Linked DNA regions of Alligator mississippiensis. The protein of the gene in region 1 purifies or fractionates together with the protein of each later gene. This does not show direct contact. Links are inferred from orthologs where the notes say so. Each region holds a gene or a part of one and is shown in the gene's direction. Other genes may lie near its edges.

Region 1 (7,944 bases):
TCCCTGAATAAGGGGTAGATTTAAGCAATTCCTTAAAAGCTCTCTTGAAGGAGCCTAACAAGTTCAGGGTGTATCTTCACAACAAACTTACTGTGCCCCATCAGTGATGCCCCTAAGCATGCCACATGATGTAGATTGGCTGCTTAGCCTGCCTCAGGTTTCCCTGTGCCACTGCTACATTGCTTCCAGTTTAGGAGACAGCCTGGAGAAAGCAGTATGGCATGCTCCAGGACACTACTACTTAAAACATGGCCTTAGATGAGCAAAATATGCAGTGAGCATGCGTATACATGCAATCACTGTGACCAAGCCCATGACTTGGGTAAGTGCAGGCACAAATTGCTGGCTCTTTGTCACTTGTATGTGTTCAAAGCCAATTTGCTTTCACAATCATGGCAACTGCACATAGAGATGACAAGAGGAATTGCAAGCTGAACTTAAAAAAAACCCTCAGTCATATCATTATTGATGAAATCCAACATTGCTTTGAAAACAGGCTTTATACAAAGAAAAACATTATGATATTGCTTTATTTGACATGGTTTCCTTGGCTTCTGTTTCAGTGTAAAGCCAACTTGCCTTTTTCTCTGTAGGCAAATTCTCTCTCTGTAGAAAAAATAGGCTACTAAAACACACTTGAAATACACTGGGTCAGTGCTGATGAATATTAAATTCTTCCTTTTCAAACCTTCTCATCTCCAATAGTCTACTTTTTCTTGACCCTTCACAATTCTTTGCAAGTTAACTGGAATCACTTAGATGTCTACCCTTAGTGCTTTACAGGCCTCATTCTTAAACATGTATCCTAATTTAGCAACAGTATCAAAGTTTACTTACAGCAAGAAAACTAGTGGAGAAGTAGACAGAAACACTGGACAGTGCCGCACTTTTGCTGTATATTACTCCCTTCAAAGGTTGCCTTTACTGGCTGAGTGCTGCACTTAACTTTTGTTAATTTGCTTTCTGGATGTGATTCTGGTTACTCAGTTTAGAAATAACTCCAAAGAAGCTTTTGCTTGCAGTTAGTATAGACAAGATTTTTGCAGATTCAGGACAGAGCAACTCATTTACAAATCACTCAGTTCAAAGGGACAGCTATCACCCAGTGAAAATAAATTGTGAACATAATTACTGTTTTCGTTCTATAATTTGGATACCTATTTAATAGAAAATAAAATAATTTTTTAAGATACATTATTTAGGGAAGACCTCTTATGTGTTTTCTCTGTAACACACTTATACAAGATATAAAAGATGATCAAAATAATGAACAAACGTTAAAGACTGCATTATTGTGAAGGGTGAATTTTGATTTCCTTGTTTATAAGTTCACAGGTAAATCTGTACTTTCACGTTGCATTGTTTTTCTGGGCCTTGCTACACATTCAAACTAAAGCTGGATGAAACCAGCTCTAGAGTTGTTACACATTTTCAAGCACTAACTTATAGCTAGTTTGGTCTTTTTATACCTGAATAATCATTTTTATTGTGTGATAATTACTTTACACGTGTGACCAGTTGAGATTTATTGTGTGATTAACCAGTAGATTGCATAATATGTAATGTGTAGCAGGGGCCTTAGGGTTCTTAATAAGGAAGATTCAATTTTGGTCTGCCATCATGCTGATGTTACTTGGTTAACTGCCAAAGGCTATCAATTTAGTGCAGCCTGGGGTGTTTCTAACAAATATTTGGCAAAATGTTTCTTGACACCTTTATAAATCATATTTTAAAAGTATGTTAAAAAGTTAGAGCATAATTTAGCTGATTATTACTTAGCTAAAACTTCACCCGTGAATTCCAGAAGAGGATTGTTTAAGTAAATACCAAAGAACTGTGTCTGTATAGTATTAAAATGAATGCATTTGCTTGGTTAAACTCTATCCAGTCTTTGCAATTGTAATATATATTTTTAAATTCTATTTGGAAAATTGTACAGCTTCACTGTCGCTTCTATCCATTTAAAAAAAAATCAAAGTCTTGTCTCTGTTCATCAAACACACAGAGCAGCTGCACAAGTTTCCTCACAAATTTATGTTTCCCCCTGGCTCTGACCATCCTCAAGGAATAAGAAGCATAGCTCACCCTTTTCATTTTCAGTCCTTGACCTCTTCACCAAAAAAAGAAGCAGGGGTTATTATTTTTTTAATTGCATGGATGAGGTGAACAGACTTCCATATTGCTTCACACCAGCCACTAAGAAGCTATGAACTGGCAATTACTTGTGAACACTGATGAATTTCTAGTGACGTGAAGCATAGATTCCAGTATCAGTGTCCCAGGCCCTATAGTTGCCTTGATCAGCTATTTTTAACAAAGCCCCTGATAAGATTTCAGATTCCTTGGAACCACGGAGTTGGGGACAAAGTCCTAGCATAGGTTTAAAAACTAGCTTAAGCCACGTGAAGGAGAAAGTTGCAGTACATGGCAGCACCAGGGCCCTGGGGTTCCAGCTTGCATTGTGGCCAGGCCCTCTGGACTGAGAGGGTCTCGAGGGGGTAGAGTAGTGACCTTCAACCTTGTTGGACTGGAAGCAGCTGTCGATAGACTCGAGGCACCCCCTGGAAAGCTCCAGCTCTTCCACTTGTTTTTTTGACTACTGAAAAATAAGGGAGCAATTGTGTTGCAAAGACCTCAGGAAGAGCACAGCGGGGTAGAACGCTGGTAACATGACGTGTGCCTACGTGGGATCTCTGGGTTTATCTTGTGAGTCATGTTTGCACACCTAAGAGTGCTAACATCCCCGTGGCACACTTGACAGGATCTGGAGGCAGCTTTGGAAGGATCTGGAGGCACCACAGGGTCCTGCACCCCCTGAGAACCCTGGGCTGGAGGGAGACATGGAAAGGGGAGTTTATCTCAGGGCTGTGTTTGGCTCTTAATCTGGTCCCCAAGGCCTCAGGGCTCTTTAAAGGGGCTGCAGCTGGAAGACTGAAAAATAGGGTTGCGGACTCTATTTGAATCTATTCCGGGAGGTTTCTAGAATGCCAACGTGCCCGCGACACACAACACAAATGTGTCTGCCTGCTTGCATATATCAATTATGGATTACAGTGCGTAGATTTTACGTCAGGAAGGCAAATACACATTACTATTAAATTTAAAAAACCCACTGAACTACTGTATACATTGGACTCAACATTTAATATTTAATGAATGTCCTATCATTTATCTCCCAGGTGACTCTCAGCAGTCCAATTCCTGGGCACTCCAAAGCAATCCTGGAGGGCTGGCAACCCTATGAGGGGAGCGAGCAGAGAGCCCAGCCCCATGGGCCTTGGGATGGAAGTTGGTGGTGGGGGGCAGTGCTGCCAGGTCTTCAATTTGAAATTATTATATTAGAAGCTCAAATGATATTTGCTGAAAAACTATTGTACACTGAAAAAATATACAAATAAGCATGCAAATAAGTCTTATCTACTTTATATTACTCACTGGACCTTACAAAGAGCAATATAGAGTGAGAACTGGGTTGTCAAAGTTGAAACATCTAATAGACAAAAACATAAAAAATTATCAGCATATAGGTTGTAGCCATGTTGGTCTAAAAAGCAGAAGCAGATAAAACTCTTGGACTAGAAGCAGTATCTTTTATTCAAACAAAACTTTGAACCTGAAAGCTTGCAAAGAAAGAAATTCTTTGCTATTTACTTGGTCTAATAAAAGATATCGCCTCTCGCCCAAGAGTTTTGTCTGCCTCAAAAATTATTGCCAAACAAAACTCTCGGGCGAGCGGTGGTTATCTTTTATTAGACCGACTAAATAGTAGCAGAAACATTTCTTTCTTTGCAAGCTTTTGGGTCCAAACACCCTTGTCAGGCTGAGGAGAACTCAAAGATTGTAAAAGTTCTCCCAGGTAGAAAAGACACTTCATTTTGCACAGGGGAGGTAAAGGATGGACATTTTTCCCCTTGGTTCCTCAGAGTCCTTTTGAGGGAGTTGCTCTGTGATCTGTTTGTGTCCATTTCTTACAGCTATATGCCACAACCTATATCCCTCAAAAATGATTGTACATTTTGTTGGTCTAATAAAAGATATCTAGTAAAATAAAATATTGTAAATCTTGATCTAATAAAAAATATCACCTCTGTCCATGAGCCCTGATTGCTTTTTTCCTCTAGACCTGTACAGCTGCAACCTGGACACCATCGTACATTTTGAGTGCTTTTACTATCATTGCTGGTACATTGTACAAGGGTTGAAACGAGTGTACATATACGATAATTATCGTACACCTGGCAACAGATTGGGGTGGGGGCGGGGGCACAGCTCCCTGCAAAGCCAGGACTGCTTTTGAGAAACAAGGTTCTTTGAGTAAATTGGAGATCTTTTATTAGACCAGCTAAAATAGTTGGAAAAGTTCTTCTTTGCAAGTACGAGCACTGTTTGTCAGGCGGAGGAAGCGTCTGCCGTTGGTCTGTGCTCTGCCTGGACGGAACAGAAAAGAAACCAAGGGCTTGTGGGGGGAGGGAGGCTTGCCTCAGACCAGCTCCCACCAACGAAAAGAGTTGGAAAAATTCTTCTTTGCAAGCTTTCGGGTACAAACACCCGTCGTCAGGTGGAGGAAGCGTCCGCCGTTGGTCTGTGCTCTGCCTGGATGGAACAGAAAAGAAACCAAGGGCTTGCGGGGGAGGCGTGCCTCCCTCTCAGACCAGCCCCCGCCAACGAAAAGAAGTTGGAAAAGTTTTTCTTTGCGGGTACAAACACCCTTCGGTCAGGCGAAGGAAGCGTCTGCAGCTGGTCCGCGCTCTGCCCGGACGGAACAGAAAGGAAACCAAGGACTTGGGAGACGGAAAGTGAGAAAGACCTGCCCCTGCTTAAGACCAGCCACGGGATCGGGGGTGTGGGAGGAACGGAAACGCCGCCTCAGCCGGGACGCGGGAAGGAGGTGCCTACATCCCCCAGCGCCCCCCGCCCCGCCCCGCCCCCAACTGCGCATGCGCGCGGCAGAGGGCGGCATGGCGTCACCCCGAGGCGGGGGCCGCTGCATATTCATGAGCCCCCGCGCGAAGGGGGCGGGGCCGGGCGAGGGAGGCGGCCGGGCCCCTAATGGCGCTGGCGACAGCTGGGCAGCGGCGCTGAGGCGCGGAGCGCGGAACGCGGCGACAGCGCAGGAATGTTCGCGGCCGCCTCGTAATCCCCCGGCGGAACGCGGCGGCGCCCGGCCTTCCACGCCCCGCCCCCGCACCCAGGCGCCAGCCGCGGCCATGGAGCCCGCGCGGGAGCAACAGCAGCAGCAGCCGCTGCCGGGCAAAGCCGCCGCCGCCGCCGCGGCTCCGCGCAAGAGGCGAGGGGCGGCCGGGGGCTCGGCGCTGGCGGGCGGCGGCGCCAACTCGCTGCTGCTGCGGCGGGGGCGGCTGAAGAGGAACCTGTCGGCCGCGCCGGCCACCCGCAGCCTGGACAGGAAGGCGGCGGGGCTGAAGCCGGCCCGGCAGCTGCAGCCGCTGCCGGCGCCCGAGCGGGACTGGGTGCGGCGGGACCTGCAGCGGGGCTGCGTGCACGTCTGCGAGCGCCGCAGCGGCGCCGGCCCGCGCCCCGTGCTCTGCACGTTGGACACCACGGCGGCCCAGGTGGCGGCCCGGCTGGGCGGCGGCGGCGGGGCCGTGCGGGTGCCGGGGGAGCCGCGGGGCCGCCGCCCCGCCGGGCCGCGCTCGCTGCCCGGCCCCGAGCTGTACGCCGCGGGGCCGCCGCGCTCCTGCCCCTCGCTGCTGGGCGAGCTGTCGGACAGCGACGGCTTCAGCCTCAGCCCCGGCAGCGCCTCCGGGCGCCTGGACGCCTACAGCAGCGCCGCCTCGTCCGCCTCGTCCTCCTCCTCCGAGGAGCTGGAGGCCGAGGCGCCGCCGCCCCCGCGCCCGGCCGAGCTGCCCGCGCCCGAGGGGGCGCTGTACGTGCAGCTGCACGGCGAGACCAGCCGCCGCCTGGAGGCCCACGAGCGGCCCCTGCAGATCCAGAACGACTACCTCTCGCAGCTCGGCTTCCGCGACCTGTGGCGGGTGCAGGAGGAGGGCCTGGACCCCGAGACCGGCTGCCTCATCCGCTTCTATGCAGGTCAGCGCTACCGCCGGGCGGGGGGGGGGGGAGAGAAGGGGCTGCCAGGTTGACAGACCCCGTGGGTGCCACAGTGCGGGGGGGCAGCACGCAGCCGCCCAAGGAGCGAGGCTGTGGGAAGTGGAGGGTAGACACCTGAAACTTACCTCCTCAGGAGGCTGGTAGAGCCCCGGAGCAGGCCCAGAGTGGTGGTGCCATCTCCATCCTTAGGGGATTTAAGGTTGAAGCCTGGGTTGGGGAGGGTCATGCTTTGAGCTAGGGAGTGGTGGGGGGGTTGGTCTAGATGGCCTCCTGAAGCCCTTTCCCACCCAGATTTTCTGGGGTCTAAAGCACCTTGCGGGAGGAGACCCTTCTGTCAGGGGAGATTGCAAAATGGGAATCCATAGTGTCAAGAGCGTTTTGCCCTGCTGGGGTCTTCCTGGCAACAGAAGAAGGGCTCCATTCTCTTTCCTGACTCTAAAGTGCAGTGAAAACTGCAAAATGCTTTCAAAGGAGCACCTCAAATTTCCTGGGGGTGCTTCAAGGCTTGAGGGCTGCTGCTCTAGGGTCACAGTGTAAATCTGCATGCAGTTACCACTCCCTCCCCCCCTTCCCCAACCTGTGGGCAGACTAGTAATATCCATCTCCAAAAGCCTGTCATCTTTATCTGCCCTACCAGCCTTTTTTTTTTTCCTTTTTATTTCTAAAAGGAAAAATGAAACTTTATTTTATTCCTTGCGCAACAAAACTAGACCCGGGGGGGGGGGAAAGAGCTGGAACTGATTCTGGAGTCAGACTCCAGACACTAGCAGCCTGGAGATGAATTTTTGCAAGGTTGCCTCAAAAAGCCTTCTTTAGCCAAAGGTGGGGCGTTTCTGCTGTGTCCACTAACTACACTGTGAATTTTTGTGATTATCCACCCCCTGCCTCCTTTTTATGAATCTGGGTTTTGTCCATATCCTGCATGATATTTGGGTCCAGAAGGTTAGCTTGCGATGTGTTCCTTTCTATGAGGGCATATTTGACATTTGCCCTTCAGGTTTGAATTGGTTGTAAGGTATTGCGTTCTTGTAGAAGTGCACTTGTCTTTCTCTGTTAGATTCATGACAGAAGTTTGTCTTTCTAATATATGTTTACATAATAGCAATTAGTTTCTTCTTGGTTTAGCAGAGCTGTCTGCTGGATTTGGCTTTGAACCATTTATTTGACTTGCCTTTGGCTCCCTAATTTACAAGTTTAGAGAAATGGGTAGCAAACCACTTTGGTTGGCTTGCACTTGTACAGGTTAGCAGCAGGAGCTTACGACTTGAGCGACTTAGTGACAGCATTTAGTTCTCAGAAATACGTTCGTGTTAATTTGGGAAGCAATTAAGTGTTTATATAGCAGTGGGGTTTTACTGAAGAAAATAAAGTGTAGAAGTATTTTAAATGCAAAATAAGTGGAGGACATATCTATCAAGAATCTTGGTCAGGTGCCCAGATTTCAACACAGGCAGGCAAGGTTCTTTGGGTAAATCTGGTATCTTTTATTAGACTAACTAAAACTTTTTGATGGTCTAATAAAAAATATCAGATTTACCCAAAGAACCTTGTCTGGCTATGTCCTTAGACCAACACACCCAAAATACAACACCGCTCTTGCATTAGAAATTTTGCTCTTGAGACTTGCCATGCAGAAGTTGGGGAGGTGGAGGGGCAGAGGGGATAGAAGTTGTAACAATGTTAATTTTATAACTGCACAGAATTTCATGTTTCTGAGGCTGTTAGTTAAGTTACTTATGTAAAACATGATATAGGGTTGCAGAGTTGCTTTGTATTTCCCCACCCATCTGTTTCCTTAAAGAAAGAAAACTATGCACAGTCCCTGGGAGAACTAAATTTATTTCTCTGTGTAAGTATGTGTGCGTGTGTACTTAT
Region 2 (7,120 bases), on another chromosome or scaffold:
TTGTTTCACGTCGGGTGTTTTAGGGCAAAGGGGTTTAGGATCAAGACATTGATAGTGTTCCCTTTTAGGGCTCGTCTATCTTGGTCCCCTTTTGAGGGTAGATTAGTGGAGTCCTTAGCACCAGGCGAGGGTGGCTAGGACCCCATCAAAGGGGTAGAGAGGAGCCACGCAAGAACGCACTGGCGGCTACTGCCAGCAGACACAGAGGGCTAAGGGCACTGGAGAAGACAAGCCCAAAAGCTGAGGGTCTCCAGACCCTCCCACCGAGGTTCAGCCAGGGCCCTGGGTGGTCATCGTCGAGAGGCAACGCAGAGACCAGGGAAGACACCAGTAGGGGGATAGCCGCAAAAAGACTCAGAGGCCCGTCTCTAAGGGTGGCACATTGGGTGTAGGGGAGGTTGGAGCCCCGTGAACGCCCGCCAAGATGCGTGAGGACTCGAGGCACCCTCAAAGGGGACCCCCCCCCACACTAAAGAACCACTCAGAGTCGTGGCAGGTGAGTTAGGAGGTCACCCTGAAGACAGCCGAGGTGCCCTCTGCGGTCTGCACGTAGGTCCCTGGCAAGCAAGATCAGCTGCTCGGGCAAAGGTGGCGCGGAAGCGTACAATAGAGCGGAGGCGGGCACAGATGCCAATCAAACCTTGTAAATTACCCAGTGCCAAACAAACTATTTTGGTATCCTTTCTTGATAAACTACAAACATTTCACAGCATTCTTTCAGGCTGTAGACTGTTGAATCAATCCATAATTCTGCTACTAAATATTTTTTTCTATGGCACTACTTGGCATTCTATAAAGTTGTTTCTACATTGTCTTATCCATTGTTGTATCTTTCCTTCCAGTCGTCTTTTCCCTAATCTCATCATCACTTTTATATGAAACTAGCCAATTGCCCATCAAGAATGACAAGGGGGAGGGGGCTGGGATGGAGTGCTGCCACCTAACACCCCATGCTGCCACTATTCTGCCTCTTCCAGGGAGCAGGATGGGGGAGCTGAGGCCAGTGCTGTTGGCCTCGGCTCCCCCACCGCCTGTCCAGTCCTTGGTGCCGCTTGCAGGGAGCGCTGCTGGCTTTGGTTCCCCCACCCTCTGTCCAGGCCTCAGCGCAGCTTTGGAATCATGGCAGTGCTCCCCCATGATTGGAGCACTCTGATTGCCTGTTTCCATAGTCAATCAGAGTGTGAATAAAGCGTTATGGACAGACAGACTTTGGCTTTTTTAATGTTAAAATGTTTAAGATTTAAAGAAGTATTTTTTCATGTTTCTTGATTTACTTGCAAATAAAGACCAGAGATTGTATTGAGATGAGACCAGATTTACTTGGTCTCATCTCAATACAATTACTTTGAACTGTTTCAGATTCATTTCTTTCTTATTCCTATTCCTGAAATGCACCGCTAACACAAACCATTTTGATTGGGAGAAACATGAACTATTTCGGTACCTCATGATTGATACATGTGGTATTTATTTTTAATGTTAAAAGCTAAATGAGGAGTTTTACAATGCTGCTAGTCACTTATATCAGTAGAAAAATCAAATAATAACTAAATGTTGTGTGCTGATTATTCCATGATAGCTATTTTTTCAAGACTTTTAAAGATTGTTTTTAAAGTCTTACCTTCTGTCTTGACTTGATGTTTGCAGTAATCAGTGTTGCATTTGCAATTATTGCATGCCTTCACATGTACACATTATGAACTAAAAAAGTGAGCTAAAATAATATTAGGGCCAGATTATTAGCCTGGATCGAATCCTCGTGATGCTCCACTAATTGAAAGAGGTCTTGAAAGTGGCAGTGGGGCACTGTCAATGTCGTAGGAATCCCTTTACAGTATAAAGCCAGCACTCAGGTCTTTGCCGTCTGTTCCTTACGAAAGGAAAGTGACATGTTTGAAGCAGGCTAGGGACAGCAAAAGGCATAGCACTCTAATGATCAGTGGCTGATAAAATGATACCTATGTGGCTCATCTGTATGATTTAGAGCTACTAGTTGGCTTCTCATGCACATTGGAGTCTATTCCAGGCCCTGACTGATCCAGCAGCCAAGTGGAGAGGTGTGTAATGTCACCTCTTGATTCCCACCAGCTTCCCCTTAGCTGGGTTAGGCATAGCTCTGGTGCAGCTGAGAATCTAGGTCTAATGAAATTCAATTCACAGGATTGAATTCATCCGTGTGTAATTCCATGAAGTCAATGGAGGATGAAAGACAAATTTGCTTCTGTGTTTATTTGAGTTTTATATAAAGTAAATTTTGTACTTATTGGGGGACCTGGCTTAATAGCTCTGGTAAACATACAGGTGGAACTTAACATCTGGTTCCCCCACTCCCCCACCATGGCATTAACATGTGTTTACTCTGATTAGTAACGATGAATTCAGGCTACTAGGGATAAGACAGTAGTTCGTCTCCACAGTATCTCAGTCCTTGGCCTCTCCACTGAAACTGTCAGCAGACCAAATTAGTGTCGATTTGGATGGTGACTTTTGTAATATTGGCATTCGTTCACTATGAAGTGGCCTGTGGCCAGCAACATATATTACTAAAACCAAATAACAGCATTCTGCTGGTAACATTTCATTTTCAGTCCTCTTGATCTTTTATTAATGATCGCAGACCTGACCTTATTCTGGAAAAAAACAGGTTCCATTGATTTTAGGGTGTTTTGCCTACCTAAATGCTGTGGGTTCAGGCCCCAGCACAGTGAAGCTGCTATTGTCTAGAATCCTACTGTGGTCAAAAGTATACCCAAATTAGCTTTCAGGCTTTGAGGAGGGAGGAGGAGGAAATGAGGGAGAGGGAGATGAAGAGAAAAACATGTCTTTTGCCCCGTATAGTTATTCTTGCAGTGTTTAATTCTCTGGGGGTAAAGTGGTTGCCTTAATGCAGAACTGGGTGTGTGCCAGCAAGGCAAGTGCCTAGTACTAGGGGTGTGTGAAACAGGCCAAATTCAAATCGATTCGGATTTGGCCTGAATCAGGGACAGCAATTCAATTAGTTGATTCGGATCACTGTCCCTGATTAGATTTAACCGAATCCTAAGATTTTATGCTAATTTGGATAATCAACGATTTGGTCATTTCGTATCAATAGAGTAGCAGAAAACCGAAATGTCCTTTATGATGGCCACCCTACCTGAGCAACAGCTGGAGGTGGAAGGGAGGTGGTGGGAAGGCTAGACTGGGCACTGCTCCTCCTGCCAGGGCGGGGTGGGACAGGGGAAGTGCTGCTGTGAGGGCTCCTACTGCTCACATGTGTGTGTGTGGCACCCCATTGACCATGGTGTCCTGGGCCATCACCCACCATTTCTGGGGAGAAAGTGTGAGCGCATTGTGTCTCAACACAAGTCTTTGTCGTGCCGTACGGGAGCAGCATAGTCATGTTCCCAGTATGTTGTGGGCCTCAGTTCACTGATGGTTGGCAAGTGCTCTGATTAGGGTGGCCATTAAGGTATCTCAAGAAAAGAGGACACTTGCACTGAGGCCCACCACGAATGTCGTGTGCCTCCTGAAGCTGGGGGGCACCCTGAGCCCCTGCAAGCAGCCGTGGCGGGGCGTGGTGGCATTGAGTGGCAAGCTCCTGCAGGGCACTACGGGGGGCAGGGGGTGCCAACTGGTGAAAAATAGAGGATATAAAGGCATCCAGTTTCATATCAATAGAGGACGGAGGACCAGAAAACCGGACCACTTCTATGAAACGGGACAAATGGCCGCCCTAGCTCTGACCCCGGGGCAGGAGGTGCTATGGCAGCGCCAACGCCCAGTCCTTATTTCTTCGGCCCCACGTGCGGAGGCACAGTCCCCAGGGACCTTCAGGTGTGTCTGGGAAGCAGGGGACAGCGCAGCGCAGGGCAGTCCGTGGTGGGGTCTGGAAAGCTCCCGACACCTCACGCTGTTTCATACACAACAAAACCCTGCGGCTTCATTAGGCCGCCGCCGGGACCCCGCCCCGCCCCCACCCCCGCAGGAGCCGCGAAGGCGATTAGCTGCGGCCAGGCCAAGAGCCCGCCCCGCCCCGCCCCGCCGCCCGCAAGGCTCGGGGGCGGCACCTGCCCGTCCTCCCCGCCTCGCCATTGGCTGCCGCACGAGCAGCCCGGGCGGCGGGTTGGCAGGCGCGGATGCCAGTCGCGCCGCGCTGCCCGGAGCTGTCAGCGCTGCCGCGGGCTCTGCGCTAAGCTGCGCCGTGCCGCGATGGAGCGAGGGAACCGGGCCGCCGGGCGGGGGCGGGGGCGGGGGCTGCTGCGGCCGGCCGTGCAGTGCTGCTGAATCGGCTGCTCCGAGGAGCCGCCGCGGGGAGGGCAGAGGCAGGCCGGCAGCCCATGCTCCGCCGCCCGCCGCCGCCTGCCCGGGGGCTCTGGTGCTGCTCCTGCTGCCCCCAGCCATGAGCCCTTCTGTTTTCCCCTGGTAAAGATGGCGGTGGGCGATCGCTGCAACCTTTAGACTCATGACTGTCAGAAACATCGCCTCCATCTGTAATATGGTGAGTACCCGCACGGCCGGGCCGGGAGGGGGCGGGCGGCCGAAGGGTTCCAACTCCGCCCCCAATGCCCCGGGGGAGGGGGCTGCCTCTCGCTGCCCCCTGCCCCTGGCGCCAGGACCTCCAAGAAAGAGGCCCGAGTCAGGATCCTAAATCCCTGGGTAGGCTCCTAGAGTAGGCAGCTTCATTTCCCAAACAGCCGCCCCCCCGCGCTGCAGTCACCCACACTCAATTGTTTCACCAAATCCAGGTGCTTCTTTAAGCACCTCATTATGGACTTGGGCACCAGCTTTAAAATCTTAGCTGCGGGTCCAGGTCCGCCTGCTTAGTCTACCCCCTGTAAGGCATTTCCAAACCCCCACCCAGCTGGGATTTCAGTGGATGCAAATGGGCATTGCTTTCAGCCCCATATGATCCTTGTAGTGCATTTTGAAACACGTCACCTTTCCCATGGTCTTCTAAAAGATCCCAAAAGTGCATTTAAACAGGAACATTTTGTCTCTGTTTTGTTGGGTCCTTGCCCCCCGCAGCCCCACTGCTCGAGGACAGGGAGGGTTGTGCAGTGTACATTCAAGTATACTTTTCATTTTGACACTGTGACTGTCAAGGCTGGTTTATTAGGCCACGTTGCCTGTGGATTTTTAAGATGTTTGTTATCTGGGGGCTCTAAGACTTTCTGGCGAGCGATTTATTCAGTAATTCTAGAATGAAAGCAGTCAAACAAAATAAATCCATGTCAGGAGGAAGTGTTAAATGTCCAAAACAAATAGGGCAAGTGCACATTCCAGCACTTTGTTGTTTTAGTTTATGCTTTTCCCCCTTGTTTTCAGGTTCTTCAAGAGCAGTTACTTGCAGTCGCCAGCTTCCCTCCATGTGGTGCCCCAGCATACCCTTTGCTGGTGATGTCACACCTACCATTCATCAGCACTGGAGAATGGAGCCTACCTATAGGGTAAGGCAGTGGTTCTCAACCTCTGAGTTGTGACCTCCATGGGGGCCACCAGCAGTTGTTCAAGGGGGATGAGGGTTGTGAGCCTGCTCTCAGTCTGGGTCCAGTCTTCCACTGAAGTGGGTTTGCTTGCAACCAGTCATTCTTGGATGCCAGGAGCACCCCACCCACAGTTCTACCAGGTCCTCACTACCACCTTTGAAGCACCTGTGCTGAGGTGTATTACTGGAGGACTGGACTTGGATCATACTATGAAAAAGGTTGAGAATCCCTGGGGTAAGATAATCTGGGTTCTTACCTTTCCTCTCCAATATTATGTGATTTTTCTAAAGTTTTTATTGCACTTATTTTTTTTAACCACATGGGACAAGAGGCAAGCATATTGCAAAGAAATATTTAGGAAACCATGCGGTATTGGGGGAGAAAAACCTGGATTTACTTACCTTACCCTATAGGCAGCGTTCAGTTTATATTGTTGATGAATGGTGGATGTGATCACCATAAAAATGCATAACAAAGCATCACATGAAGGGAAGCTGGAGATTGATAGCTGGTTACAAAGATTTAACATTGGCATGCAGCCTTAAGAAACCTCTGTTTTCATAACACGTGCCCAGATTTTTCCATATAGACAAGCTTTTGCATAATATTTCTCCCTCGGGGTCTAGGAGGGCATCACACAAAACTGAACTAGGCCTGCATTAATTCAGGCTAGTGCTGCTCTTACTACTATCAATAGACATCTGCAAAAGTAGCATTTTAATATAATGGAGGAATTAAAGAGGGCAATGAAGCAGTCAAACAGAAAAGGGGGAACAAGAACAGAACAAGTGAGAACAACTCATACTTCAGGACTAAGTTTGGTTCCTTACTCTCTTCCTGGTGTCCTGGGTGACAAGAATGTGGAAGGAGCAGACTCAGCCTTTGAGGAAAGGATGCATTTGTATTCAGCATGGGTAACACAAAGTGTAAAAATACTACAATTCAGATATCTACATGTCATAAGCTTGATGCAAAAATAATGGTTTTTAAAAGGAAATGAATATTGGGATTGTTGTATTCTGCTTTTTGCATCTTTGGGTGATTCTAGTTCTGTTTACAAGCTTTGACCACTATAGCCACAGAGGTTAGAACCTCTTTTGGGAAAAAAAGAAAGCTGAGATTCTTGCAGCATTCCAGGAAGCGAAGAGAATTTAAGAAAGACATAAAATACTATAAGAGTTGGTGATGCTCTAGTTACTGGACCTCTGAAAATGAGCATAGCTGCTCGAAGGAGCTATATCAGTGGACCCTAGAGGAACCTAGGTCAACCCTAAATAAGATGACTTCTGTGATACATACTCTGTTGCAGGGGGAGCCAAGAGATCTAAAAGACTCCCAAAAAGAAGAAAACAAAATAGTAAGGTGGAGAAAGAGTAATACAAATAAGGATGTCATTAGCAGAGGCACTACCAGTACAAAGGAGAAAGCATTAGTGCCATTGTTCAAGGGACTGGTAAGATCTCATCTAGAATAATTTGTACAATTCTGGTCACCCATGTTCAAGAAGGAGGAATTCAAACTGCAACAGGTGCAGAGAAGGGCTACTATGATGATCACTGGAATGGAGAACCTATTTAGTGAGAGGAAACTAAAAGATCTTCGCTTGCTTAGCCTTGTAAAACAAAGGCTGTGTGTGGATATAACTGTGTACT
Region 3 (7,501 bases), on another chromosome or scaffold:
CATGCACCCCCTACGTGTCACCAATGATTTAAGATCAAAATAGCCAAAGCATCATTCAGAGAAGTGACCTTTTCTTTCATTTCCAAATGTGCTGTAGTTTGACAAACACTGAAGAAACTCACTTTAGACGCATTGATTCTAGACAGTACTCCCCAGTGTCAAACTTAGGATTCCCAAACAAGCTCATAGATAATTTAGTCAAAAGATCGCTAGAGAAGCCTAACTATCTGAAGCTAATATTCTAGATGTAGCACACCCTGGAGTTAGGCTAGGACATGTAGCTGAAATAAAGTTAGGAACAAATCTACTGTCAGTGGATAGATGGCAGACATCCACTCTCATCTGCCTGAAACTGTCTGTAGCACGTTGACCTTGAGATATGTTTTACCTGAGAGAGGCATTAAGGATCCAAGGAAATATTCTGAGTCCTTTTCAGAAGGACACAGTCCACAAGTAGTAACAGGAAAACTGTGCTTCCTCCAGTAGATCCCTCTTACATGGAATTTCATAAGGATCAATTCTTTAAACAACCACTATGTCAACTGGTCTGATAAAGACTCAAGTGGTGGCAATAAACAGATAACAGCTCTACCAGTCCCTCACCACACGCTATTAAGCCACTACTACTGAGATGGCCCTGCAGAGAAATAACAGCTGGCTGAAGCTGAACCTGACAGGTGTGGGGTCAAACTGGGTTTGAAGAGTTTGCATGGTGAAATCGCCTTTGACTGAGGCACAATTGCTCAATTCAACATGTAGTTTGGGAATGCTTTTGGCTTCCTCACTAACACTAAAATTCTCACAAGTAACTTGCCTATCATTTTTGGCTTGATAAGTGGCTCTCACTAACCCTGGCAGACATTAACCTGGCCTCAGTTATTCAGACAGGGAGCCACACTAGCTTGCCACAGACAGAAGGCAGGGTAGATTGGCATCAGACTGAATCAGAGCTACACAAGTAAGCGACAGTTTGCTTCATCAGAAGCTAGGAAGCTGCTGCTTAGTAAGGCTTGCACATCTCCAATTTAGTCTGCAAGGTGCTGTGCGGGCTGGGTCAAGCCCCGGGCCCTTTTTGTCGCTCTGCACGCGGGCTGTGGCCGGCAGCCTGGGCAGGCCGGGTCAGAGAAGGAGGTCGCCGAGCTAGAATTAGGCACAGACGCGTAACGGTTGATTTTAAGATTGTTTACTTACACCGAGATGGTCGCGGTGCAGGCTGAGAACTTGCTTGAGTTACAGTTGCGGATAGAAAAGAAGAGAGGCGGACTAGAGTTCCTCCGGGAACACTCTTCTAGCCCATCCGGTTGGAGGCTCTAAACCGCGAGCCTGTCAGACCAACCGGAGAAAGTCCGTCCGGTAAAGAGCTCTGAATAGACTCACTCACACGAAGTTTGCTAGGCTCCGTGGATCCGTCTCTTTGGCGTGCAGGGAAGGATACGTCTAGGATCGTACGGCGACGGGGAGAGGCTAGAGGCTGATCAGACCTCTGTTGCCTGCTTAAAATGCTTTGGGTCCGTGAGGATCCGCAGCGCTTAGAGATCTTCACACAGCGTGAAGTCTCCTTCTCCTGGTGTTCGTGGAGTCCTCCAACTAGGGCGGAAACCACACAAGCCTTTTATACGGCTAGCAGGCCAATCGCTAGCTGTCACATGTGAATAATTTAACGTAAACCAATAATGGGGCTCGAATTAGAATACAAATGGCAGGAACTCTTTGCAACGTGCATCACCGTGCTGCAACTTAGAAATGCACACTGCAAAGAAAGCTACGAATTGGCGGGAACTTCTTTTGCACCCGGGGTTCTCTGTTGCAGCAGAAAACTCCACCGTGCAAAGAAGCTGCAATTTGGAGGGAACAATTTAGCGGGGAGCAATTTAGCTGTGCCGAAGCACACAAAACAAAAACTCACAACTTGGGTTGTGACAGGTGCAACTCTAACTTCCTTCTGCCTTGGTCACTCATGCCTTTATTGCCTCTTAACAGGTCTGCAGCAACACTGTCCCCAGAGGCGAGATGTCCTCAGGAGTGTGTTGGTGTCAGACCCACATCACCAGACCCAGAGGCTCAGACCCACACTCATTCTAGTGCACCTTAGCCTGGGTGTGGGCTACTGAAATGCAGGGGGAAGACTGAGCTTGACAACTTTGCCCACTCCAGGCACCAGGGCCTCTCCCCACTGCAGCTCTCACTGCCCCCCACCTCCTTTGCCTTCCAGGCCCTAACCCCCAGCAGAAGCACCAGCGCCTCTAATCAGTGTCACCCTCAGAAGATCCCCTGCCTCCCCCCTAAGCAAACCCCTGCTCTCTGCTGCAAGACGGGAAAACCAGGGTGGATTTGATTCAAATCAAATTAAATCATGATTTAAATCACTGGTAAGGGAGCCTCGATTTAATAATTGGTTTCTAAAAAAAGTGCATTCTTGTAGTTTGATATCCTTTATTAACTTCTTGAAACTTTGCACTAAGAGGTAAGGGCTTGACTGTGTGTACACAAACTTGCAGAGAGACAACAGGGCTGATGAGTGGGTAATCAGGTCTGTTCGCTCTCACCTCCATACACTGCTGTTCACAAGGATGTTATCTCTAGAGACAACATGCTCCCCCTGTGCTTGAAGAAGGGCGTTTGTGCCCAAAAGTTTGCAAAGAACAATTTTTTCAACTATTTAGTTGGTCTAATAAAAGCTATTGTATCTACCCAAAGAACCTTGTCTGTCTATGTGCTCTAGAGACACAAATCCAGTTTCATAGTTTCTAGGGGCAGAACAGACCTGAACAGATCATCAAGTTCGACCCCCTGCCCTGGGCAGGAATGAGTGCTGGGATCATAATACCCCAGCCAGATATCTATCCAACCTCCTCTTGAAGACCCCCAAGGTAGGGGAGCGCACCACTTCCCTTGGGAGCCCATTCTAGAGCCTGGCAGCCCTAACCATAATGTATGGCTTAAGTAATGCCTCCTGGTATCAAGCCTGAACTTGCTTTCAATCAATTTGTGGCTGTTATCCCTTGTTATTCCAGGTGATGCCCACGGGAACACAGCCTCATCTATTTTCTGCTGGTCCTCCCTGGCAAATTTATAGACAGCCACCAGATCCCCTCTTAGTCTTCTCTTGTGGAGGCTGAATAGATTCAGGCCCTTTAGTCTATCTTCATAGGGCCTGGCCTGCTGCACCTGGACCATACGAGTGGCCCTCCTCTGAACCCTCTCAAGGTTAGCCACATCCCTCTTCAAGTGCAGTGCCCAGAACTGGATGCAATACTCCAACTATGGCCTAACCAGCACTGCATAGAGGGGAAGGATCACTTCCCTGGACCTGCTTGTGATGCATCTGTAGATGCACAAGGTGTAGTTACCTTATTGACCACTTCCTTGCATTGGCTGTTCATGTCCGTCCTGGAGTCAACAATGACTCCAAGATCCCTTTCGGCTACTGTGTTAATAAGAAGGGTGTTCCCTAGCCTATAGGTATGCTGCAGGTTCCTTCTCCATAGATGCAGCACCCTGCACTTGTCTGCATTGAATTCCATCCTATTCTCATCTGCCCACCTCCGTAACTTGTCTAGATCTAGATGAATTCTGTCCCTCCCCTCCAGTGTGCCCACTTCTCCCCCACATCTTTGTGTCATCAGTGAATTTGGACAGCGTGCTTTCCACGTCCACCTCTAAGTCACTGATAAAGATGTTGAATAGCACAGGCCCAAGGACCGAGCCCTGGGGAACTCCACTGCCCACATCCCTCCAGGTTGAAAATGACCTGTCCACCACCACTCCCTGGGTACGACCATTGAGCCAATTTGCCACCCATCTGACTGTGTAGGCATCAATGCCACAGTTGCCTAGATTTTTTATGAGCATGGGGTGAGAAACAGTGTCAAAGGCCTTCTTGAAGTCCAGGTAGACGACATCCACCTCAACACCTGCATCCAAGGACTTTGTGACCTGGTCATAAAAGGAAACAAGGTTAGTCAGGCAGGATCTGGGCCCCTAATATATAGCCCATGGCCTGCTGTGACCTATTAATAAAACATCTAAAAAGGTTTAATGAATATATTGTCTCAAATAGTATATGACTATAAGTTATAATCCCAATTCCATGATACCTTTGAGCTTTAACATAAATTAAAACTCTATATGGTTTTTTTAAAAAAGCATCTTAACCAAAAAAAGATTAAATTAAAAAAAAATCTGTTTGAAATTAAAAAAAAAAATATATTTTTTTTAATCGTTTTTTTATCCACCTTGGGGAGGCACGTGGGCCAGAGCACGGTGGCCTGTTTACTACGCCTCTGCGCATGCGCTGGACAGCTACCCCCCCCTCCCCCTCTCTATTCCCACCCTTTCCACGAGGAGAAGCCCCGCCCCCCTCCGCGGCTGGGGCTAAGCGGGCAGCAGCCCCGCCCGCTCATGCGCAGTGGCGCCGTAAACAGGCGAGCGGCTCCTCCCCCAGCACGGCGCCTGCGCGGACGCCCCCGGGCAGGGCGAGTGAGCGGCGGCGCCTGCGCAGTGGGGCTACATCCGGGCACTGGGGCAGGATGAATGCTCCTTTCCAAGATGGCGGCGGAGGGAGGAGGGAAGGAGATGAACGAGATTAAGACCCAGTTCACCACCCGGGAGGGGGTGTACAAGTTGCTGAGCCACTCGGAGTACAGCCGGCCCAACCGCGTGCCCTTCAACTCGCAGGGCTCCAACCCGGTCCGCGTCTCCTTCGTCAACGTCAACGACCAGAGCGGCAACGGCGACCGGCTCTGCTTCAATGTGGGCCGGGAGCTCTACTTCTACATCTACAAGGGGGTCCGCAAGGTACCGCGGGGCCGGGGCTGCTGCGGGGTGGGGGCCTGCGCCCGCAGCTGTGCCCCGGGGGAGGGAGCCCAGGCCCGGGGGACGCGCTGCGTCAGGCGGGGCTGCGCCCGCGCGGCGGGGCCTTTGCCGCCAGGTGCCCCCGGCGCTGGCCCGTGTCGCTGCGCGGGGCCTGGCCGGCCTCGGCCGTCCCCTGATCGCAGTCTCTTGTTGGTGCCCCGTGAGTGCTCGAGGCCCCGGTCTGGCTTCTTTCCCTGGGCCAGGAGACAACTGCGCTGCTGGACGTGGGCAGAGGCAGCGATGTCGGCATAGGGAGAGAGGGGTGTGTAATCTCTACCGCCTTTGGGACCCTCGCCCCCCCCCCCCCCCCCCCCCCCCCCGGGCCCCTGTGCTCGGTCGGGGTGGGAAGCCGAGGCACGAGGAGAGCCAGCGACTTGCCCAAGGTCATGAGGGGAGGCTTGTGGAAATGCTGCCTGGGTCTCCGGGGTCCCTGGGGAGTGCCCCAACCGCTCCTTGCTAAGCACAGCCAGGAGCTGAGGTTCGGTTGTCAGTGACTGAGGGCCCACTGGATCCCATCCATTACTAGTTTCTGTGAAATGGGTACATGCGCTTGTTCGCCTTCATGCCTGCTGGGTCAGTCCGGCTTGTTTGGGCGGCTCTCAGCCACATTTGTGAATTTCAAGACTTAATTATCAACTGGTCTTTTTTTAAGTTCCTGAAAAGTATCTGGTGTTTGAACAGAAATATTTCTCACTCATGCGAAACAGTTGCTAGCTTTACTACTTTCCTTTCTATAGGGAGGATGCAGTGTCCACAGATCACTGGCAGCAGCCTCCTCTCTTTATTCTGCCACCCATATAATCTAGACTTCTGTGTCTGTTGTGTGTAGGGAATAGCTGCAGATTTCTGCAACTGTTTTACTTGGAGCAGGCTTTCATGTAGCCCAATTACAGTACATGTGACCCTTGCCAATCTCCTTTTTTAATTGATCTTTCTTAAAAGTAAAGAAAAATCCAATGGGTGAGAGTGTCTCTAGACCAGGAAACTTCTACGTGCCAGCTTTAAAGTTTATACACTTTATTTGCTGTTTTTAAATAGTTTTTCAGTATCTCTTCAGTAAAATGGTATTTACGTTTGTGGGTGGGTAAAATGTTGAAGGCAGAGTAGATTTGCATCCTTAACTAAATAAGACATGCATAGTATGAACTTTTGTGAGCCTGAGCTCACTTCATTACATGCTGTTGAAAATGCTCCTATATCTGCCCATTGGGTGTCTAACTTAGGGGTTTTGATGCATAAGAATAAACATTATACTAGATGCCTGTTTTCCTCTGAACAACATTGTAAAACATACAAGAGAGTTGTAATGAAATTTGTATTTAAGAGCTTGTCAGCAATTTTACCAATTTGATAAAGGCTATAAAAGAGATGATAGTTTTATTTATGTAACTTGAGGGTTAAAGTTTTTTTTTTCTTTTTTAAAAATAATTTTCTTCAATAGACTTGGTTACTTTCCTAATCCATTTAGAATAAATCGGTTCAAAAACTTTAAGTTAATTATAACACATGCAAATTTGTCGTCTTGTTGAAACTACAAAATAAATTGTTATTTTTACATCTTTCTTATTGCCAACTAGAGTTAAAAGTCTCTTGTTTTGACTGAAGTCAGTGTGAATTATTCCACTGACCTCTACTAGGGGCACGGGCTTTCCACCAGGTTTAGATAACTGTTTCTGTAGCAGAGCTTTTTTGCAGGTTACTGATTCTTCTTTAATATATATAATACTTGATTCAGCTATGGAAGAGTTGCAAAGTAAATTATTAAACTCTTGCAACTGCTTTCTGAGTAGTGGCTCCAATGAGCATTACTGATATAAAGAAACCTTTAGATATGCAAAACTTTCTCTTAGCAGTCTGCTGGAGTTCTTTGAGTATGGCAACAAGCATGTGTGGATAAGGAGGATACAGTTGTTACAGTATACTTGGATTTGCAAAAAGCCGCTGACAGTCTCTTGCAAAAAGCTGAAAGAAAGTAGGCTGTCCTGGAATCAGAAGGGGAAGAAGGCCCTTTCACGTACTGAAAACTGGTTAAAGGGTAGGAGTTGAAGTGTAGGATTAGATGGTGACTTTTCAGAATGGAGGAAGGTAAACGGTGAGGTCCTTCAGAGAGCTATGCTGGGACCTGTGCTGTTCTGCACATTCAGAAATGATCTGGAAAAGGGAGGTAGTTAAGTGGCAAAGTTTGTAGGTGATACAATTTTGTTCTTGATAATCAAAACTAAGGCTAATGGAGTTGCAGGAAAATCTCTTAAAACTGAGGGTAATAAAGAGGCATATCAGCATTGAAATGATCCCTGCCAAAGGGGGAAAAATAACCCAGGCTATACATCCCCAGTGATGGCCTCTGTATTAGTTATTACTACTCAAGAAAGATTTTGATGTCCCTGTGGAAATTTCTCTAAAAACATGAGCTCACAGTGCACTGGTAGTCAAAAAGGCAAATTAAAAATATTAAGTATCATTAGGAATTTATATGAAGAAATGGAAAATGTTCTTACATAAAATGTAGTACAGTCACATTTTGACTTCTTGCAGTTCTGGTCACTCCATCTCAAAAGAATATACCTGACTTAGAAAAGGTTCAGAGAAGGGCAACAAAGATGATTGGGGTATAAAACTGCTTTTGTGCTATGAGAGATTGTAAAGG
Region 4 (7,878 bases), on another chromosome or scaffold:
TCCACCTAGTCCAAGTGGTTTGGAGAAGGACCCCGCAGAAGTTTGAATGATGCTCAAGTCGGAGCTACTTTTCATGAGAATCCTCTTCAGGATTGCTGCCGGCGATGCCAAACAGCTGTGTTCCCTTTGCCCCCACCTATGCACTGCTTAATAGAGCCCTGCCCACATGGTATTATGGTCAGAGTTAATGGATTTGGGACTTGGATGGATGCCGTTAAGCAGGCAGGGGAGAGAGGAAATCACCTGGTGGTTTTTGATATCCACAGGTCTTTCACCTGATCTGTTCCCATGTTTCTGGAGGCTTTACTGGAACCCCAGGAGTGCATTAGTACAGAGATGTGGAGTGTGTAGTGGGAGGAATGCCATAGCATATCACATGCATAACCCAGCAAGCTCAACATAGGTGGAACATGCATGATGCAGTCTATATGTTATTACTGGGACCTGGAGGAATGAGAATGGAGGCTTTCCTGGCTGCACCCTTTCTAGACAACCATCCTGTACAAACCCTTCCTGTTATATATGGCTTCTGTTCTATACATTGTCCCAATCAGTTCAGACACATCACAAACCAGCCATAGAAAGAGTGGCTGAAACTTGGCATGCTACCATTAGCAAAACCAGGCTTGATCAGACCAGCAGAGAAAGCAAGTACTGGTGTTAGGGGTCTTCCTCTTCCAGTATCCCTCCCTCTTCTTCAGGCCCAGTTTCTCAAAGAACCTCAGCATTTAAGCTGATTTTCACTATGATGACAGGTCACAGTAGGAGAGGCACGGCTGTGACTCAAGTCAGTAAAAGCCACTCAATCAAATAGAGAGTAAAGTGTGTGCACAGAGAAAGGCAACACAGCTTGTGCAAAAATTTCCAACACCAGAATGATCATTATGTATACCATTAATGAACAGTGCCATTGCAGGGCTAAAACAACCTTTCTTTTTCTTCTAAGATGCTTTGGCAGTAAGTACCTAGCTCTACATAGATAACATGTTCCTGAGTACATGCCTCTATGAAGTATCAGAGCTGTGTTATGTTCTCCCACAGTAGCAGCTGATACAAATTCTTACCCGATATTACCCTTTGGTTGACAGGCAATATCTTTTGCATAACAAGGACTAGAAGCTGCAGCACAGTTAAAATTATATTAATGTTCTATCCCAAATTGCCCAAAGGCAGGACATTTAGGTTTACACAACTGGCAATCTCAGCTCGAGAGAGGCCCAGCACCTGAATAACGGTGTTGAGTTAAGACTAAGGGACACTGGCAGAGCTGTGGGGTACACTGGATTGTCTGGGCTCACAGCTGGAATAGCAGAGGCTGTTTGTGGGTCACGGCTGGCATACACTGGGGGAAAAGAAGGGGTTGGGGTGACAGTGTTGAAGAGGTGCTTTAGTATGTCAGACTTGAGGCATGCTGCCAGAGCTGGATGTGAACCTACAGCAAGAATGGGAAGGGGTGCTGTAGGTTGGGGAAAGATGCACTGGTAATGTTTTATGCAGATACTTGCCAGCAGATGAAGTTAGTGTGACTAATACTTGACTTTCTCATCTACTCTAAATTCACTTATAAAAGCCTAAAGAGAAAAAAAACAAGCAATCGGAGGCTTCTATTTTGCTCTGAATCCAACCACTTTAGCATAAGCATTGCAGAGGTCTCAGAACAGTGTGATCTTACATAATGCCTATGCTGCAATACACAGGCACAAGAAGGTGAACTGAGGACAGAGTGGCTGCCTTAGCTGTGAATTTCCTGGCTTTTGGGAGTTTACGTCAGTCTCACTGTTTTAATGTCCTTTTTAAATTTAATTTCCTTCTAAAATAGTACTATAAAATTAAGGAGGGGAGAGAAATAGGGGCGTGATAAGCCCCAACTTTTAAATAGCTAGAATTTGTTACAGAACATCATCCAGATTGAAAAGTGTTCTTTAAAAGAAAATTCCATCACATTCATGCCAAGTGATCATTTTTAAAGAAAGTAGCTGCCATTTTTGTGGTACAGTGTGAAGCCAGTGTGTGAGCTCCTCCCACTGACTTTCATGGTATCCAGTGGAGATATGGTGGAGGACTCTGGCCTCACTCATGCTTTCTGCACAAAATAAGTGGCCTGTTTCGCGTTGGCTATCTTTGAAGCCCGCAATAATGGCTTGTTAAATGGGAAATAGAAGTGTTGGGGTTGGGTCAGGGAAACGATGTAACGTTTAAGGTTATAGGAGGATTTAAAATGAAAGTTAAAACAATGCTGGTAGATTTTGTTCCTCGTGTATTTATGAATGTCCAGAGTTTCCCCACTGCATTTCAATTAGGCAAAAGCTGTGTTAAAGTAACTCCCCCTTACACTGAACCAGCTGCTACCTTCTAAATTTCAGTTTCAATTTTAGCCTCTCATTTCCAAGGCATTCTGTTGGTCTCTAAAGGCAAAAAAGCTAACATGATTCAACATCACATCAAAAAAACAGACACTGCCAGAAAGAGATTAATAACATTATAAATCCACTGACAAATAAGCTTGTCCTTAGGTCACCTATTGTAGCAATAAAAGGGGGAAAGCCAGGTCCAATTGCAGATTTATAGTAAGAGGTGGTCCTTTGCAGATGAAAAACAAATGAAAACGTCTCCTTTGATATTTGTACAGCTCTCAAGACAATCAGGTCCTGACCATGGTTGGGGCCCTGGTTGTCTTATAATACCAATCAAGCCAATTAAAAAGGAAATAAAAAGGTTGGAGGGTTGGACTTTCAAATGCTCCGTGCCCAGGATTGGAGCCAGGCTTCCAAGAGTTTAGGGCTGGTTTGACCATTTGTCCGCTGCTGCCAGTAAACCAGAACATGAGACTGAAAAAATACAAGTAATTTAGCTACTTTCCCTGTCCTAAACTGACAGCTACTGAAACATAAAGTGCAACACTAGTGAGAAGGTATTACATTACACACAGCATTCTGGGTTCTAGCTACAGTGCTGTTTCCAATACAGTTTAAAACAAAAGTCTTAAGCCAAACAACAGCCACAATCATTACAATAACCATCATTTCCTCCAAAAAATTCCTTTCTAGCGCTAACTTTTAGAAAACTACAAGAGGGTTTGTTTTTCTGATACAATGCTAAAAATAACAGCCAAGGGAACAAACCAGAAAACTATATGTTCTGATAACAGGGCTAGTCTAATATTAAACCCATAAAACAAAGAAAAGAGGAGTTTAGTTAGTGTTTAACTCCCACCCCTGCTGTGTCTCTAAACAGTGGTCAGAATATGCCACATGCTTCGAAAGCCAGGCATCCACCAAAGGGGTGGACTGAGGACAAATGGGTTTAGCTTGAAGATAGAGAATACCTTGACACAGACTTGCAGGCCTCAAGTAGAGCAACTCTTTAGCACTGCTGGGCTAGTGCAACAGAGTTAGGTAGGGACTGACTCCCTTGCAACTGGGGCGACAGAGCTGCTGAGTCAGTCTGTGCAATTATGTTCAGAGTTGAAACACGCAGCCCACTTTTTCCCTGAAGAGCTCACTCACTCACTCAGCACAGGGAGTGTAGAAAACCTGGCCCCAAATGTGTCACGGGGCGAGGGAGCTGCTGTGACCTGAGCCCCCTGGGGACATTGGGAATGTTGGCCAGCGCTCTCAGGTACAGGAGTCTGCCCCCCGTCATACGCACTTCCCCAGGCAAGGATACCCTGTGCGGCAAAACAGAGGGGGAGAGGGGAGCAGGAGAAGGGAAGGTAGGAGCCAGTCTGCTTTCACTGTTGCAGCAAGCAAAGGGTCAGAGGAGACAAAACAAATAAATAAAAAAGCCAGTTGTAGGAATTTGTGGGTTACATTTTCACATGTGGGTTCACTGGTTTTCTTTCCACTCTTGTGGGGGAGGATGAGAGACCCCCACACCAAGCAAAACTGAGCAGTGGAAGGAGTGACTCTGAATAGTATTATTAATAGTATTAGTAGCAGTAGCATTACTATTTTTGTTATCATTTTAATAGTACTATTATTAGTGCAATGTCGTTTGTATTACTATCATCACCATCATTACTGTTGTTGTTGCTGTTGTTATTTATTTATTGTTGCATGATGATAATTACTATTACTGTTATTGCTGTTATCATCCTCTTCCTCCTCCTCCTTGTTTTGGCCATTATTATTATTATTGCAAGATGATGATGACGTTATTGCTGCTGGTATCATCATTGCTGCGGCTGTATTTTTATTGTACCACGATAATGATGATGATCGCTGCTGGTATCATCACCGTCATCGTTGTTGCTATTATGACTATTTTTATTTTCATTCCTTGTACCTTGAGGAGGAGGAGGACTATTATTGTTGCTGCTATTGCCATCATCCTTATCGCTGTCGCTGCTGATATCATTTATTATTTCTTATTGTGCGATGAGGAGGAGGACGGCCCCAGCAGTAATCCTCATCGTTGCTGCTGCTGTTGTTATTATGGATTAACATTTGGATCGCATCCTGATCACGGCTCGGATCAGCATCAGCTCTGTTGTAATGACTATTTCTCCTTACGGGTATCCACGACCACTTTTGTTGTTATCGCTACTCTTCTTCCTCTTCCCCTGCTCACTGCTGGGGGGGCGATGATGGCTCTTCCCCGCTCCCAGAGCCGCGCTGCCCCGCGGAACGAGCGGCTACCACTCCCGGCCCCGAGGCGCCGCGCAGCGCCGGGCACATCTGGGCAGCTGCAGCCAGCCGCGCGCTGCCCCCGGCCTCGAGCTCAGCACCCCGGGGGGGCGGGGGTAGAACACCCTGTTGATTTGCATGCGGGAGCAGAGATGGCCAATGAGCAGGCGGCTCGCCCGGACGGGCAAGGCTGACTGCCAATGGACGCGCCGAGGGGCGTGGCCTCGCGCAGGGGACCCGCGGCCGGCGCGGGAGCTCAGTGCATTCGCAGCGGGCAGCGGCGGCGGCAGGTAGCGGGGCTGGGCAGCGCGGGGCGGGTGGGGGATCTGTTCCGCTGCTTCCCTGTGGTGCAGGGTGCGAAATGCAAACATGTGGAGCTCTTGGTTCCCAAATGCTACCTCTGATTAGACCAACTGGGGAATTTTAACTACAAAAAAATCGCTTTTTTGGGGGTGGGGGTGAGTGTGTGCACGGAAGCTGCGATGTGTGGAGGGGTCTCGAGGCCGAGCCCCAGCGCCTTCGGCCCTGAGCGTTGTGCCTGGTCTCTGGACATCAAGGGTGGCAGGCAGGGCGCCCCAAAGCCAGCTCCAGCCCTGGTCCTGGGGAGCCCCGGGGGCTTCGTCCCTGCGAATCCGTCCTGGGTGTCCGATGCCACCGAGGGGCATCCGGCTGCCCGGGGGTAGATGCGGGGCCTGCCCCCCTGCCTGGCAGTGAGCGAGCAGGGGGGGATGGATGCCTTTGCTGTGGCGCATCTTGTTCAAGTCGCAACAGTGTCATTTTTAACCTGGAATGTTTAATTTAGCAAAAGTCCCCGCGTCCTTAGTCTTGTTTGCCCTGGGTTTTTGTAAAAATGAAAAGGTAAATGTTCTGCTTTGCTACAGTTTTACCTGTTTGCAAACAGGACTTTCCCCCTATCTGCTCCGCTGCTCTGCTTTCTGCTCCCCGGTCTATCTGCCCCTGTGCTGCCTGCCCCCTCCCCGCTCTGCCTCGTGCCACACACGCGCTGCCTGTGACACTTGTGGCACATATGCTGGAGCTTGGCCACCCATTTTAGACCGGCTGATTGACAACTGGGCTGCATGAACCACAGGCAACCTTTTACCCACTGCTGAAATGGTGTCCTGCGACTTCCTATAGCTGCGCTCTCTAGGGCACTGGAGCAGAGACCCCTTGGTCTGCAGCAGTGATACACCGCACAAAGGGGGGCTCTTTCTTTCTTTTTTTCTTTCTTTCTCTAAAAGCCAAAGCTTTGTCACAAAACGAAGCTCTTATGTCAAGACACCAGTATTTTTCCTAATGATACCTGCCTAAAATATCCTGCGAAGCGTAAAAATAAAGACGTGAGAGAGAAGTTGGAGCAATTATAATAAATTGCACAAAATAGACATGATTTTAGGTTCTTGCTCTTATTTTCTCTCTCTTAGTCAATAGGCAAAATAGCTGTCGTGAAGCTGCTATTTTCCTGCTGGTAAATGCATACTCGGACAAACATATTGATACCACAAAAGAATATCATTTGCATGATGGGATGTAAGAGCTTTTGACGAATAAATTCAGAAATAATGCATGTCTTGAGTTGATGAATTCCAGTCCACATCTCTAGTGATGTATTCAAGATGCCTTTCGACGCAGCTTTGTATAGTTTTGTCTGCATGATGAGATTGTCTGTGTTTAAATAAACAGGGCTTTGCTAATGGTAGCTTACGTGGTGTAGGGGAGGCCTGAAGGTGCCAGTTTGTGAAGTGCCATCCCATCAAATGAGCAAACTGATGGTATTAAAATATTGCTTTCTCATCTGTTTTGGAGGATAGCTGATTTTAAATCAAGACTTTAAGGTTGGCTGGGAAAGATGCTGAAACTTGACTTAAAACATTTTAGCCAGTCGTCATGGGGCAAGAGCCGTGTTCAACCCGAGTATAATAAACAATTGAAAAGAAAGCTTTTCCCGTGTCCCGAAAATATGCTGGGGAAATTTTTTGAATTCTTTTTTCCTCAAACCATGTGTGAATACTGCTCCATAAGTATAGTCATTGCTCCATAAGTATAATCACGGCAGAGGAAACAAAGAAATGTTTTTAGCCACAGGAAGAAGAAGGCAGCTGGCTGCTATGGGCAAACTTCATAAAGATGCAGTAGGCTTGAATGAAAATTAGGTAGAATATTAATGAAGGAAAGGACTTTGCTGTCAATCTGCAAGCCCTAGTTGGATTGCTGAATGTGCTGGCTTGTAATCTTTAAGTGTGTGTATATTATAATGTTTGAAACAAAATACCTCTTCAAGTACAAGTATTTGAGGAGGTATAAACATCGCCGAGGCAGAGGAAATGATTACCACCATGCACAATGGAATTTCTAGGGGAAAAAAATGAAAGTGAGCAAGGGAACAATGTACTCGCAGTACTGCGAGTGCTAGGAATTTTACTGGACAAAAATGTAGTCCCAGTTGCTGAGATATTGTGTAATGTTATATAGGAAGTGATGAATGAGGGCAGTGAACACTTGGGGAGATGGAGAGTGAAGGGGAAGGAAGGACAGAGTGTTAGAATAAGATCTTGCACTTAGTATAGGCATAGATGTGCCTTGACTTTACAGTTACTTATTTTACGTTCTTGGGGGCACTTGTGGAACGTAGCTCGAACACTGGAGAGAACTGAACAGTCGTCTTTTGCTGCACAGTATATGTATTGAAGCCTCACAGGCTACACCAGTGATGTGTAGTTCAGTAGTTATTGTGGATGGCGGGGGGACTCGAAAGTCAGACCAGGTTTTTGTTCTCTCGTCTAGCACAAACTGGGGCAGTTGCTTTGGACCATATCAGGCTTCTTGTCTGTAAAATGGGTATAAATACTCATTTTGTTTTGAAGTACTTTAAGATCCAGTGTTTCTCAACTCATGGGCTGCAAAAATATTTGAAAGGGTCACAAACTTTAAAAATGGGTTCTCCTTTAAAGGAGAAAATTGTGGGAAACCGTGGTTTTTCCCTTGCAGGCTGGTGGTCCAACCTCCATGGGGCTGCTTGGGCCACCCCCCCATACCCCACGTACCCACCTGCTGCCCCACACACTGGGAGGCAGGGGGCAGTGGGTCAGGAGTGAGGGGCACTGGGTTGGGACTGGCCATTGATCTTTAGAAATGGGTCCTGGTAGAAAAAAGGTTGAGAACGACCGGTCTAGCAGAACTGTAATGGAACAAAGCATTACAAAGGTCTCAAGTTGCGGCAAGGGAAGTTTAGGTTGGATATTGGGGAAACATT

Evidence for each region.
Region 2: the proteins of PHLPP1 (region 1) and USP46 purify together in Homo sapiens (affinity purification with mass spectrometry; 7 studies listed by BioGRID and IntAct, counting the BioPlex papers as one, with this or other methods). This does not show direct contact. The link is inferred for Alligator mississippiensis from reciprocal best matches to the Homo sapiens genes PHLPP1 and USP46.
Region 3: the proteins of PHLPP1 (region 1) and WDR20 purify together in Homo sapiens (affinity purification with mass spectrometry; 4 studies listed by BioGRID and IntAct, with this or other methods). This does not show direct contact. The link is inferred for Alligator mississippiensis from reciprocal best matches to the Homo sapiens genes PHLPP1 and WDR20.
Region 4: the proteins of PHLPP1 (region 1) and FKBP5 purify together in Homo sapiens (affinity purification with mass spectrometry; 4 studies listed by BioGRID and IntAct, with this or other methods). This does not show direct contact. The link is inferred for Alligator mississippiensis from reciprocal best matches to the Homo sapiens genes PHLPP1 and FKBP5.

What each region holds. Positions count from the first base shown.
Region 1 is NC_081826.1:126,085,958-126,093,901, forward strand, and holds the start of PHLPP1 (PH domain leucine-rich repeat-containing protein phosphatase 1), read left to right. Parts: upstream 1-4,943; 5' UTR 4,944-4,958; coding exon 4,959-6,048; intron 6,049-7,944. UniProt on the Homo sapiens protein: Protein phosphatase involved in regulation of Akt and PKC signaling.
Region 2 is NC_081825.1:58,528,137-58,535,256, reverse strand, and holds the start of USP46 (ubiquitin carboxyl-terminal hydrolase 46), read left to right. Parts: upstream 1-4,119; 5' UTR 4,120-4,444; coding exon of another isoform or gene 4,445-4,480; intron 4,481-5,307; 5' UTR 5,308-5,348; coding exon 5,349-5,429; intron 5,430-7,120. UniProt on the Homo sapiens protein: Deubiquitinating enzyme that plays a role in behavior, possibly by regulating GABA action. May act by mediating the deubiquitination of GAD1/GAD67.
Region 3 is NC_081825.1:284,945,799-284,953,299, forward strand, and holds the start of WDR20 (WD repeat-containing protein 20), read left to right. Parts: upstream 1-4,489; 5' UTR 4,490-4,533; coding exon 4,534-4,797; intron 4,798-7,501. UniProt on the Homo sapiens protein: Regulator of deubiquitinating complexes. Activates deubiquitinating activity of complexes containing USP12. Anchors at the base of the ubiquitin-contacting loop of USP12 and remotely modulates the catalytic center of the enzyme.
Region 4 is NC_081837.1:36,310,625-36,318,502, forward strand, and holds the start of FKBP5 (peptidyl-prolyl cis-trans isomerase FKBP5), read left to right. Parts: upstream 1-4,863; 5' UTR 4,864-4,915; intron 4,916-7,878. UniProt on the Homo sapiens protein: Immunophilin protein with PPIase and co-chaperone activities. Component of unligated steroid receptors heterocomplexes through interaction with heat-shock protein 90 (HSP90).